3 linked regions of the Macaca fascicularis genome follow. The protein of the gene in region 3 binds, or shares a complex with, the protein of the main gene of each other region. Links are inferred from orthologs where the notes say so. Each region holds a gene or a part of one and is shown on either strand. Other genes may lie near its edges.

Region 1 (3,647 bases), on a different chromosome or scaffold from region 3:
GTCCCCAAGCGAGATGGCCACTGAGCCCAGGTGACTCACAGAATCATAAGAGAAAATTTTTTCTGAGTGCCCCCAATTATCTATTTGTTTGGAAAACTATGTTATTTGCAGCCAGAAGCACTCCTAACTCTCAGGAATGCCTTCTTCACACGGTTCTGTGAGGATCCCATGAGGTGATCCCTAAGGTCCTCTTTCGTGCAGGAATGCCTGGTGCACAGAAGTAACTGATCTGCTCCTTCCCCGAGTTACAAGGTGAACTGTGTCTCCCAGAAAGCTATGCTGAGGCTGGGTGCGGTGGCTCACACTGGTAATCCTAGCACTTTGGGAGGCCAAGGCGGCAGATCACTTGAGGTCAGAAGTTCGAGACCAGCCTGGCCAACGTGGTGAAACCCTGTCTCTACTAAAAAATACAGAAATTAGCCAGGCATAGTGGCACATGCCTGTAATCCCAGCTACTCGGGAGGCTGAGGCAGGAGAATCGCTTGAACCCGGGAGACGGAAGTTGCTGTGAGCCAAGATTGCACTACTACATTCCAGCCTGGGTGACAAGAGTGAAACTCTGTCTCAAAAAACAAAACCAGAAAGCTAAACTGAGGTTCCAGTCTCCAGCACCTTTTCCAGACTCTATCTGGAAAGAAGGTCTTTGCAGTTGTAGTAAGATGAGATCAGGAAAATGGGGCCTAATCCAAAATGATTGATGTCCTTATAAGCACAGGGACACAGAGATACAGAAAATGCCACATAGAGACACACACAGAGGGCAGACAGCCACAGGATCAAGGAAGACCCTGGAGCGATGCCACCTGCAGCCTGGGGTTACTGGCTAGAAGAGGCAATGAGGAGGCCTTCCCTCGAGCCTCTAGAGAGAGCGCGGTCCTGCCAACACCCTGACCTTGGGCTTCTGGCCTCTAGAACTGGGATCGAACACATTTCTGTTGTTTTGAGCCCCTCTGCTTGTGGTAATGTGTTACCGCAGCCACAGGAAACGAACACATCCCATAAACCCATGCCAGAATCAACAGCTTCCTCCTAACTGCTCCAGTCACATCCAGCTCACATTTTTAATGTGGAATATCCCTCAATCTGGTGCATACGATGATTATAATAAAAGTCAAGGCTCTAGAAGAAAGGCGAGGAACCTAAGGGCATGAAGTCCACCCAACCATCAAAAACGGCTTCCATGGGCCCAGGCACTCTGGGATTCCCTTCAAAGGTCAGCAGAAAGCAGTACAAGAGTTAATGCCCCTCGGCCCCCAATGCCCTGGACTCACGAAGCCATTGCCCATGATGCGGTAGAGGCCTTTGAGAGACTCCAGGTCCTTGTTGGTGAAATGGAACTGGACCATCCTTGAGTTCCGGAACAAAGGGCCCAGGGTGGTCTGCGGGAGACACAGAAGTCAGCTGGCATGTTGGTGTGGGCAAGTGAGGTGGGCACACGAGGCAGGGAGTGGGGGTAGGGCAGGGAACAGGGAAGAGACAGTAGGGTGAGGGCTGCCTGGCAGCAGGGCTGGCCCTCCACCACCACTCACCAGCAGCTGCTGGGGGATGAGCTGCATGATCAGCTTCTGGGGCCACTGCTCAGTCTTCCTGGGGGGGTGATGCCAGGAGAGGTGTGAGGAGGGGGCCAGCCCCAGCCCCACCGCACCCCACCCGACAGTCACCTACAGGTTCTCGCCATGATTCACATAGACCTGGCAGGGCAGTGACCGTGTCAGCTTGGTGTTGGCATCCACTGAGGCAGGTTTGGGTTTCTGAGGGGGAAAAAGAGCATGTCAAAGTAAAATGGGCCATAAGCCTCAGTCCCCTTGAGCCCTCATGTCCTAGCCTGCTGGCCCCAAAGCTCAGGATGTTCCCCAGTTTAAGTCCCATGAGCCCCTGGCCCCTCCTCCAGACCAGCAAACCTTCAATTCCTCAAATGTTAGGGCTACGTTCCCGGCCCCTAAATCCCACAATCCACTGTGCCCCAGGTGCTACATCACCTGGGCCCTTCTCTGGGCCCCAAATCCTAGGCTTTTCTGGGTTCTTTGCATGGGGACTCTCTTCTGTACCGCAAGTCCCACTGCTCCATGGGGCTCCTGGCCTGGTCCCGGATCCCACGGGTCCAGCCCAAGGAATGCCCCCAAACCCAGCATTGCAAACCCCATGCATGTGACCCATGAGTCCCACATGCCCAGCCCCATGGCCCCAGGAGTCCCAAGTGCCCAATGGACCCTCAGGCCCCTCACCTCCTGCCACTCGAGGACCCCGCTCCATGCCAGAAGCTTATTGGAGACTGACTGCTGCCCACCGAGGGCTGGGGCTCCTAGCTGGGCTGGGGAAGGGCCACTCACCCCTCCTGGGGCCACAGTGCCTGCCTGCCAGAGAGGAGGAAGGAGGGCCATGAGAATGAGGAAAGAGGGGGGCCTCCGGGGGCCATCCTGTGAGGGCAAACCAGGAAGAAGGAAAGGCCCCTTCTTCTGCTCATCCATTCCCAGAAGAGCACTTGGCCAGCCCCAGGACCCGAAATGCTTGGATGCTGCAGGATTCCAGGACTCATAAGCTGTGTGATGCCCCGGACTCCCAAACCCAGGGATTCCTTGTGTTTCTCAGAACAGCCCTGACCCACCTGGAGCCATGAGCCTCCCCATTCCGTCCCCAGACCCTCATCTCAGGCATCTGCAGCACACGTACCACGAACCCCCAAGGCCCCAGGGCCACCAGATCCACACCCCCCTGGAAGGCAAATGACTCATCCTCTAACTGTCCTAGCTGTGGGCAGCAGGAGGAAGGAGTGGGGGCAGGAGGTGTGCAGGCACCTACCATGGACGGTGCCCCGGGCTGCGCTGTGGGAGCCAGACCGGAGCCAGGGGCCACGGTGGAGACCAGACTGGGCTGGGAAGCAGGTGGTGGCTTGGGGGCACCAGGGGGTCCTGGGGGTAGTTGGGGAGCTGGGGCCTGGCTGAAGGGGGGACCCACTCCGGGAGCAGCTTGCTGGAGAGGGGTGATGGGCGAGACTGTGGGAGAGACCAAGGGAAGAAGTGAGGAACAAGTGTGTGGAGGGAGGCCTGCCTGGCCCCTGCCCGCCCCTTCATTCTCGCCCCAGGACTCACAGCGAGGGCCCAGCCCAGCCTTCTGGTTCTTGGCAGCCTCCACTGCATTCTGGGCGGCCACCTGAGCTGCACTCAGGTTCCCAGGAACCTGTGGGTAGAAGGGAAGAAGGAAAGGGACTGGTGAGGACCATGGCCCTCCAATCCTGGTGTCCCACGAGGTCACACCACCCACGGCCCCACAAGGCACAGCTGCCCCAGCTGGGAGAGCTCAGAAGCTCACGACACCCATCACCTAGCAGATGAGCTTCCATGGCCCCAGGAGTCCCACCCTCCCAATGTCCCATGGGACTCCCATCATCCCACAAGCTCCAACATGCAACTAGATCTCTCCCCAGGGGCCAGGGCTCCAGCAAGTCCCCAGAAGCATGTCCCTTCCTGGAAACATCCATACCTGGTACTGCGGGGGGACGGGGGGCAGAGGCTGCTGGGGAGCTGCTGAGAGAGTGGCACCGGAGGGTGCGGCAGGAGGCAGGGGGACTGGCTGCTTTGGCTGGAGGGGGCCTGGGGCAGAGCCACCCCCAACTGAGAGCAGGAGGGATGGCCAACCCCGGAAAGAAG
Region 2 (3,747 bases), on a different chromosome or scaffold from region 3:
AAAAAAAAAGAAAAAAAAAATCTGCAGGCCAAAAGAAAAAAATGCAAGCTATGATTAAACCATAAAGCGTTCTTATAAAAAATATGCTTTATTTTGAACAAGGGATTAGATCTCCTTCAGAAATAACTATTATATACAATGTACTTTAGGCAACATACTTTTAATATTCCAGGTTGCTGCTTCTGTATAGCATTTTCAAAAAAAATATCAATTTGGAATCAGAAAAATGTACAAGTCAGCAGTTTAGATTTCTTTAATAGCACCTTATCCACACTCCATGTACAAGACAATGAAGACATTCTACATTCCTTTCAAAAAAAAAAAAAATCAACTAAGCATTACTACAGTTCTCTATTTCAAAGTTGCTACTTAAAAAATAATTATTTTTAAAAGCATATTCAAAAATCAATCCTTTGGTTTAAAGAGGTTTAGGGGAGAAATATCTGAAACACAAACCTTTAGTCAGTCAAAATCAAAGTACAGAATCCTCTCCTACAAAACTGCTTCTCCAAAAGAATCTCAAGCATGTTATCTCTGTAACGTTATCATTCTTACTTAAGCTTTAAAAAAAAAAAAAAAAAAAGATAAAAGAAATGATATACCCTAAAAGACTGGCTATACATACACTTTCATACGTCTACACAATCTGTATATACACAGTCATTACCAGTCAGCATAATATATGATAATTTGGGAGATCTCTCTATTTGGTTATTTTAATTACCTGTGTCAATGTGATCACCAGTAACCACACAAAAACCATTTTAAATACCCCTTGATCAATATGTTTGCTAATCTGTGAAAGTCCCTGAACCTGACTGATACCAAATGATAAGACTGAGGAGGGAAAAAGAAGGGGCAAAAGGGGGTTTTACTCCCACATACCAAAAAAATCAAGGGAAAATTATCAAAATACTAAGAGAAAGAATTCCAACTTATAACTGAATTTTAAGATGAAATATCTGGATTAAAATATTTCATTTAAAAAAATTTACCTGATCTTACTAGAGTGGGATCAATGATACTATGTCACTCGGTCTTTGTAGGTAAAAATCGCGTGTGTTGATTTTTTGGTCTGTATTGTAACACATTTAATAACATAATACTTTCATTTGAAAAGTTGGCGAGAATTTGCATTTCTCCATTAGTCTCATAGCAAAAAAGCATCTAGGCCACCCATAATTAAATGTAACTAATTACAATTTGAACACTAAATTATTTATCCAGTGTAAACAAGGATTAAGAGGGAAATGATGCTTCTATCTACAGCGGGGGTTACAGAAAATAATTTCCAAAATGTATGTTCTCCAAAAGGGACTCACCTCCCCCTAAAAAAACCAGGGTACACAACTAAGTTGGGTGTTTTTAAGGATAAATTAAATAAACTGTTCAGCCAATTTTCCAATTATATTCTACGCTTGAAACGTAATTGCCTTACATCTGTTTACAAATCTTTGCTCAATATTTAAACAAATTCGTACTCTCCTGGGCACATAGCTATACATACAGTAATTCATGCACAAAGCACATATTTAAAGACCACGCACTGCAATTATTAGCCTAAACGCCAGGTTTAACAACGTGAATGTTTTCAGAGGTAGGTAATACGACCCAATAAAAAGCAAAGATGGCATTTACCACCAAATGTCACTGCCACCGCCAGGAAAGAGTTGCTGGAGCCCTATACATTTTTAATTTCGATGAATCTAGACGCCGTCGGCGGGTGCCAGGCTTCCACGAGAACAATTGACACCCTAACTGCTTCAAGATTAAGGCAGGCGATTCAAATCCGAAGGAAAAGTTGTCAATTATCAGAGAGAGAGCGCGAGAGAGGCGAAAGCAGATAAAAGCGATGTTATCAAACCGCCCAGCTTGTTGCTTTTGTGTGTGTGTGTGTGTGTGGATTCGTTGTTAGGACAGAGAAAACAGTTTTTAAAAGACACAGAAGGAGAGAAAGAAAAAAAAGCTTTCTCCACCTTCCGTCGGCTCGGTGCAATGGCTTTACGGCTCTCCAGCGTAGTAAGCCCCGAGAGGCAAGCGGCTGTCGATGTTTACAATCGCGGGAGCTTCGGGTGCAAGAGTCCTTTCCTGACACAATCGCATTCAATCAACTGTTTTCGGGCGAAATTGCAGGTGTCATTATGGAATTTAAAAAAATTCAAAAGGCAGGCGGGCGGGCGGGCAGGCAGCCGATCCGACAACGGGGAAGAGGTTGCCGATCGGAGGCGCGGGCAGCACAAGGCAAAGCCTTCCACATTTAGGGGGGAAAAAAAGGGGGGAAAGGGGAGGAGAAGGGGAGTGCAATTGCAACAGAGGGTGGGCGTTCGAAGTGCGACCCAGAATCCGCAGCTCCGAGACTTCCACATGCAAATTCCACGCCGAGCGCCGCGCTCACAAATGATTTTTAAAGAGCCAAATAAACACTGGATGGGATCCAAGGCGAGAAAGAGACGATCCAAAAGGGGGAGAATCGGCGAGAGGCGAACGGCGGGGAGACGCGAGGGAGGGGCGAAGTCCCGGCGGCGGGAGGAGAAAGTTGGTCGGCGGCGGAGGTCGGGGAGCCCCCCCTCCCCGACACAGCCCCCTCCCCGCAGCCCGGCTACTCACCAGCGAAAAGAGGTTGGAGTGACAATCCTCCAGGCTCGCCCCGTTCGCCACCCAGTTCGCTGCCGCAGTCATGATCCTCCGCGAGCCCGGCCGCCAGAGCGGGGCATGTCGGAGCGAGGCGTCCGAGGCGAGGCCGGGCCGGGCGGCGGCGCCTCGCCGGGGAGCGCGGGGCGGCCGGGCCGCCGCCGCCGCCGGGGGAGGGCGCGAGGGCCGGCGGGCAGGCGGGAGGCGCCGCGGCGACGCCGCGCCGGGGGCGGCGGGCCCGGGCTGGCGGGGGGGTCCGCGGCGGCCGCGCGGCTCCTTCCTGCTCGGGCGGCGGCGGCGGCTGCGGCGGCTTCGGCGGCGGCGGGGGGCGCTGTCCGTGCGGCCCGGCGCCCACCCCGCCTCTCAGGGCCGCCGCTGCCTCCCGGGCCGGCGCTGCGGGCCGGCCGCCGCCTCCGCCTTCCCTGCTCCTCAGCCGCCGCCGCCGCTGCCGCCGCCTTGTTTATCTCCAGCCACCGACTCCCCCTCGGCCCCCGCCGGCGCGCGAGGGGAGGCGAGCCCCGGAGCCGCCGCCGCCGCCTCGGAGCCGCCGCCGCCGCGGAGCGCGAACTCGCGAAGGGGGGGGTGCGGACGAAGCCAGCGGGCGACCCCGGCAGCCGAGCGACGTCCCCTCCTTCCTCTTCCTCCCCCACCCCCCCCTCCTCCCCAGTCAGCCTCGCTTCTCCTCCCTCCCCGGGCTCGCTTGCTCTGACAGCAATGGCGGCCGCCGACCGCGGCTCGGCCCGCCATTGGCTGGTGCCGGGTCACGTGACGGGCGCCGGCCGCGCGGGGGGAGAAGGGGGCGGGCGGGGGAGGGGTCCGGAGTGGCGGCGGCGGCGGCGGCGGCTCGCGGGAGGCGCTGCTGAGCCGAGCGCGGCCGGGTCCTCGAGCCGGGAAGAGGGAGGGAGGGAGGCGGAGAGGGAGAGAAAGAAGTGCAGGCGGCCGGGCTCCCCGGCGGGCGGCGGACTGCCGGCCCGTGGCTGCCGTGGGCTGCCCCTCGTGGCCGCCCCGCCCCCTCGCGGTGCACTGATCGTGGCGGGGCGGGACCGTGGGTCCGGGGCGGGACCGTGGGTCCGGGTCGCGCCCGTGGCGGCCGCGGAAGCGGGCGCGGGGCCCCCG
Region 3 (3,630 bases):
TTACACTCCATCCAGGCCCTTCTCCCCAGACACCATCCTCATTCTTGTCCCCATGTCTTTGTTCATGTTACATCCTCTACCTGGAATGCCCTTTCCTCTTCTCCACAAATCCCAATCACAGCTATTCTTCAAAGGCCAACTCAAGTCTGACCTCCTTCATGAAACATTCTCTGATGAGTCAGGCCCACAGATACTACCCCGTACTTTTTCTCAATCCGCATTTTACCTCATAGCATACAACTGCATACCTGATTATATCTTTGCTCAGAGTGTTCTCTCAATGTTCTTCTGTAAGTCTCATCTCCCCAGCTATAGTAAAGATTCTTTGTAGTGAGGAACTATGCATTTTGGGGTTTTTTGCTATCTTTCTTCACCTCACCCAGTCCTGGTATAGTGCTGGCCACACAATGGGCAGTTAGTCCACTCCCCAGTGTTCTTAATCCCAAGCTTTGGAGTCTCTAAACATGGTTACAAGGCCTGAACTAAGGCTTGACTAACATTAACCATGGTGGGAGGATTCATTCATTAATCCATCCTGGTATTCAACCTGGTATTTAAAGCCGGTACCGGCTTTAGGACTCCTTATCATGTAGTTCATCTATGAACTCCAGATATTTTTTTTTTTCTTTTTCTTTTTTTTTTTTTGAGACAGTGTCTCACTCTGTCACCACTGCAGTGCAATGGCGCAATCAATCTTGGCTCATTGTGCGATTACATCTCACTGCAGCCTCAAACTCCCAGGCTCAAACAATCCTCCCACCTCAGCCTCCTGAGTAGCTGGGACTACAGGCATGCACCACCATGCCCAGCTAATTAAAAAAAAATTTTTTTTGGCCAGGTGTGGTGGCTCAGTTCAAGACCAGCCTGGGCAACATGGCGAAACCCCATCTCAACTAAAAATCCAAAAAATTAGCTGGGCGTGGTGGTGTGTACCTGTAGTTCCAGCTACTTGGGAGGCCGAGGTAGGAGGGTCACCTGAGCCTGGGAGGTCGAGGCTGCAGTGAGCCATGATCATGCCACGACACTCCAGCCTGGGCAACTGGAGTGAGACTCTGTTTCAAAAAAATATGTTTTTTTTTTTTTTTTTTAGAGATGGGATCTCCCTATGTTGCCCAGGCTGGCCTCGAATTCCTGGACTCAACTGATTCTCCCACCTTGGGCCCCCAAGTGCTGGGACTACCAGTGTGAGCTACCACACAGCCCAGATTTTTCCATGAGTCAGATAAACAATTTCCCCTCTCTGGGCCTCAAAGAACTGTTAAGGAAGTACACATGAAACTATTGGTCTCCAGGGTCCCTTCCAGCTCGAGACTTCTGTGGTTATGGGCTATGTGGCCAGATAAGTATTCTTGACGTCTCCGAAAGTTCTGACCAGTCCCATCACCTTCAGGCACGGGCTTTCCCAAGTCAAATGCTCCCTTATACCTCTGCATCTCTTCCTAGCTCACCACTACTTTGGGTACCTTTGAGTGGAGGTCAGTCCATGTCCATAGGTGGGGGCCTGCTGGTGCACATAGCCACTGGGCCGCTGTTGCAGGTGGCGGGTAGGATCTACAAGAGTAGGATTGGTAGAAGGGTGGGTGCTCTGGTAAGGCTGGCTGGAGTAGCTGGGGGGCACCATGGTACCTGCAGGGCCTGTGTGTTGCTGCAATCCCACATGAGAAACATAAGGAGTATAGCCCTGGAGGGAAGGAGGAGAGAGGGAATCAGGGCTGAGAGTATGCAAAGCAGCTTGCCTCATCCCCCGAGTCTCACAATCCCAGGCTCTTACCTGGGAAGTCTGCAAACCGTAGGAAGAGCTGGGAGTCATCTGATGGACAGATGACTGTCCCAACATGCCCTGACTCTGCTAAAGGGAGAGAAGAGAACAACTCAAACTCAGGAAATGCTTGCTGCCATCTCATCTCTTGTGTCTCCTGCTCTGAGTGTCCTTGTGAAGATCCCGTGTCTCCTCAGTCCTGTGACCCTCAAAAGCCCCTCTCCCTGACAGCCCTCCCTACTGCCCCTCTCACTATCTTTGCCTGGAGCTGTTGGCGAAGGCGCTGTCCTTGGGGCACCGCAGGTTGCTGCTGCCGGTACACAGAGGTCTTATAAGAGGAGGGTTCTAGGCCCATGACGCCAGTCATGGTTGTGGGCAGCACTCCAGGGTAAGTCGGTCGGGTGGGCAGCTTCTGCATTGGTAAGCGCACAGGGCGGTACGGGTCCACACGAGGGCCACCTGGAAAGGAGAGTGGGCTGACCTCTAGGCTCCTCATCCCTCTGTCTCTTGCTCAATGTCCTTGACATCCATAGCTCCTCAGGGGAACGGCATCACCCTTTGGGCAGGGGGAGTATACACCTAGGTCCCTCCAGCATTCCTAGTGACTGGCACTCACCTGCAGGTAGTGGCTGGTTCTGGGTGTACAGGCCTATGGAGCCTTGCCTGTAATTAAGGTGGGTTATGGAACCAGGGTTTGGGTGGTGCAGGAGGTCTGGAGGCACTGTCACACCATAAGGGCCGCTCCGACCCGGGCCCATTCCATAGTCCTGTGTGAGTGACAGAAGAAGAGGGTGAGTGGGTTGTAGCTGAGTGGGGTCGGGGAGCTGGGGGAGAATGAGGTAAAGAGGAGCTGGATTCGTACATGGTTAATTTTTATTATGATTCTAATGGCACCCCTTCCTTATGCGCCCCCACCCCTCCCACAAACCAGAAACTGGAGCGTCATGAAGTAAGAGGCTGTGGGAGAACTGTCATGGGGGAGACGCTCACCTCTGTCTTGGCAGCTGGCTGGCTGCGTTTCTTGCCCTTGGTGGACTTCTTCTTGCGTTCCTCAGTGCTGGGTGGAGCAGCCCCCGGTTTGTCAGTTTTGGGGGGCTCCGGAGCCTTTTTCTCAGGCTCTAGCAGGGTAGGAGCAGGGGGCTCCTCATCTTCTGGGGGCAGTGGCAGCGGCTCCAGGTAATAGGCGCGGGGCCGGGGCCTCAGGTGTGTGTGGTAGAGCAGCAACCGCTGCTGCTCCTCTCCTCGAGCCACTCGCCGGTCCACCCGCACTGTTCCAAACCAGCCCCAAGACAGCGGTGCTGACGGCTTCAACCCCTCAAAAAGATCCCAGGGCGAGATCTTCTGTTTGGTGGAAACCTGTAGACCCTGCTCCAGAAAATGAAAAACAATAAGCTGTTGGGACTTAGAAAACACAAGAGAGACCGCAAGCACTTGTAGGAGTGGGTAGAAAGTCATAGGTAGATTCAAGAGAGATGGTAAGAAACAGACAGACACGGATACACACATACATGCAGAAGAGAGTTATGCGGGGAGAGAGTGAAGGGTGGGGGACAGGGAGAGGTATGGAGGCGCAAGATGAAGCCAGCCAGGACCAGGAGAGGAGACGAATGAACGGGGCGGGCGGCGGGCGTGTGGGGAGAGAAGCCGAGACCGGGAGAGAAAGGGGTTGGGGAGAAAGCCAGAGAGGAAGTGGGGAGGGAGAGGGATTGACATTCAGAGGCAGACAGAAAAAGGAAGGCAGAGAAAGAGAGAGAGGAAGGCAGGGAGAGATTCTGCCTTTAGGCAGGCAGAGAAAGACAGAGTCAGAGAGGGAGAGAGAAACAGGAAGAGAGACAAAAAGGTGGAGAGACAAAGAAAGGCAAACGAGTCAG

What was found.
Region 1: MED12 (region 3) and MED25 share a complex: the UniProt entries of both Homo sapiens proteins name them as parts of the mediator complex. The link is inferred for Macaca fascicularis from reciprocal best matches to the Homo sapiens genes MED12 and MED25.
Region 2: MED12 (region 3) and MED13L share a complex: the UniProt entries of both Homo sapiens proteins name them as parts of the mediator complex. The link is inferred for Macaca fascicularis from reciprocal best matches to the Homo sapiens genes MED12 and MED13L.

The regions. Positions count from the first base shown.
Region 1 is NC_088393.1:57,813,897-57,817,543, reverse strand, and holds part of MED25 (mediator of RNA polymerase II transcription subunit 25), read right to left. Parts: intron 3,612-3,647; coding exon 3,481-3,611; intron 3,178-3,480; coding exon 3,090-3,177; intron 2,994-3,089; coding exon 2,800-2,993; intron 2,355-2,799; coding exon 2,226-2,354; intron 1,752-2,225; coding exon 1,666-1,751; intron 1,588-1,665; coding exon 1,530-1,587; intron 1,380-1,529; coding exon 1,272-1,379; intron 1-1,271. UniProt on the Homo sapiens protein: Component of the Mediator complex, a coactivator involved in the regulated transcription of nearly all RNA polymerase II-dependent genes.
Region 2 is NC_088385.1:123,225,480-123,229,226, forward strand, and holds the start of MED13L (mediator of RNA polymerase II transcription subunit 13-like), read right to left. Parts: upstream 2,803-3,747; 5' UTR 2,680-2,802; coding exon 2,608-2,679; intron 1-2,607. UniProt on the Homo sapiens protein: Component of the Mediator complex, a coactivator involved in the regulated transcription of nearly all RNA polymerase II-dependent genes.
Region 3 is NC_088395.1:77,836,995-77,840,624, reverse strand, and holds part of MED12 (mediator of RNA polymerase II transcription subunit 12), read right to left. Parts: intron 3,125-3,630; coding exon 2,750-3,124; intron 2,527-2,749; coding exon 2,376-2,526; intron 2,219-2,375; coding exon 2,013-2,218; intron 1,850-2,012; coding exon 1,772-1,849; intron 1,682-1,771; coding exon 1,464-1,681; intron 1-1,463. UniProt on the Homo sapiens protein: Component of the Mediator complex, a coactivator involved in the regulated transcription of nearly all RNA polymerase II-dependent genes.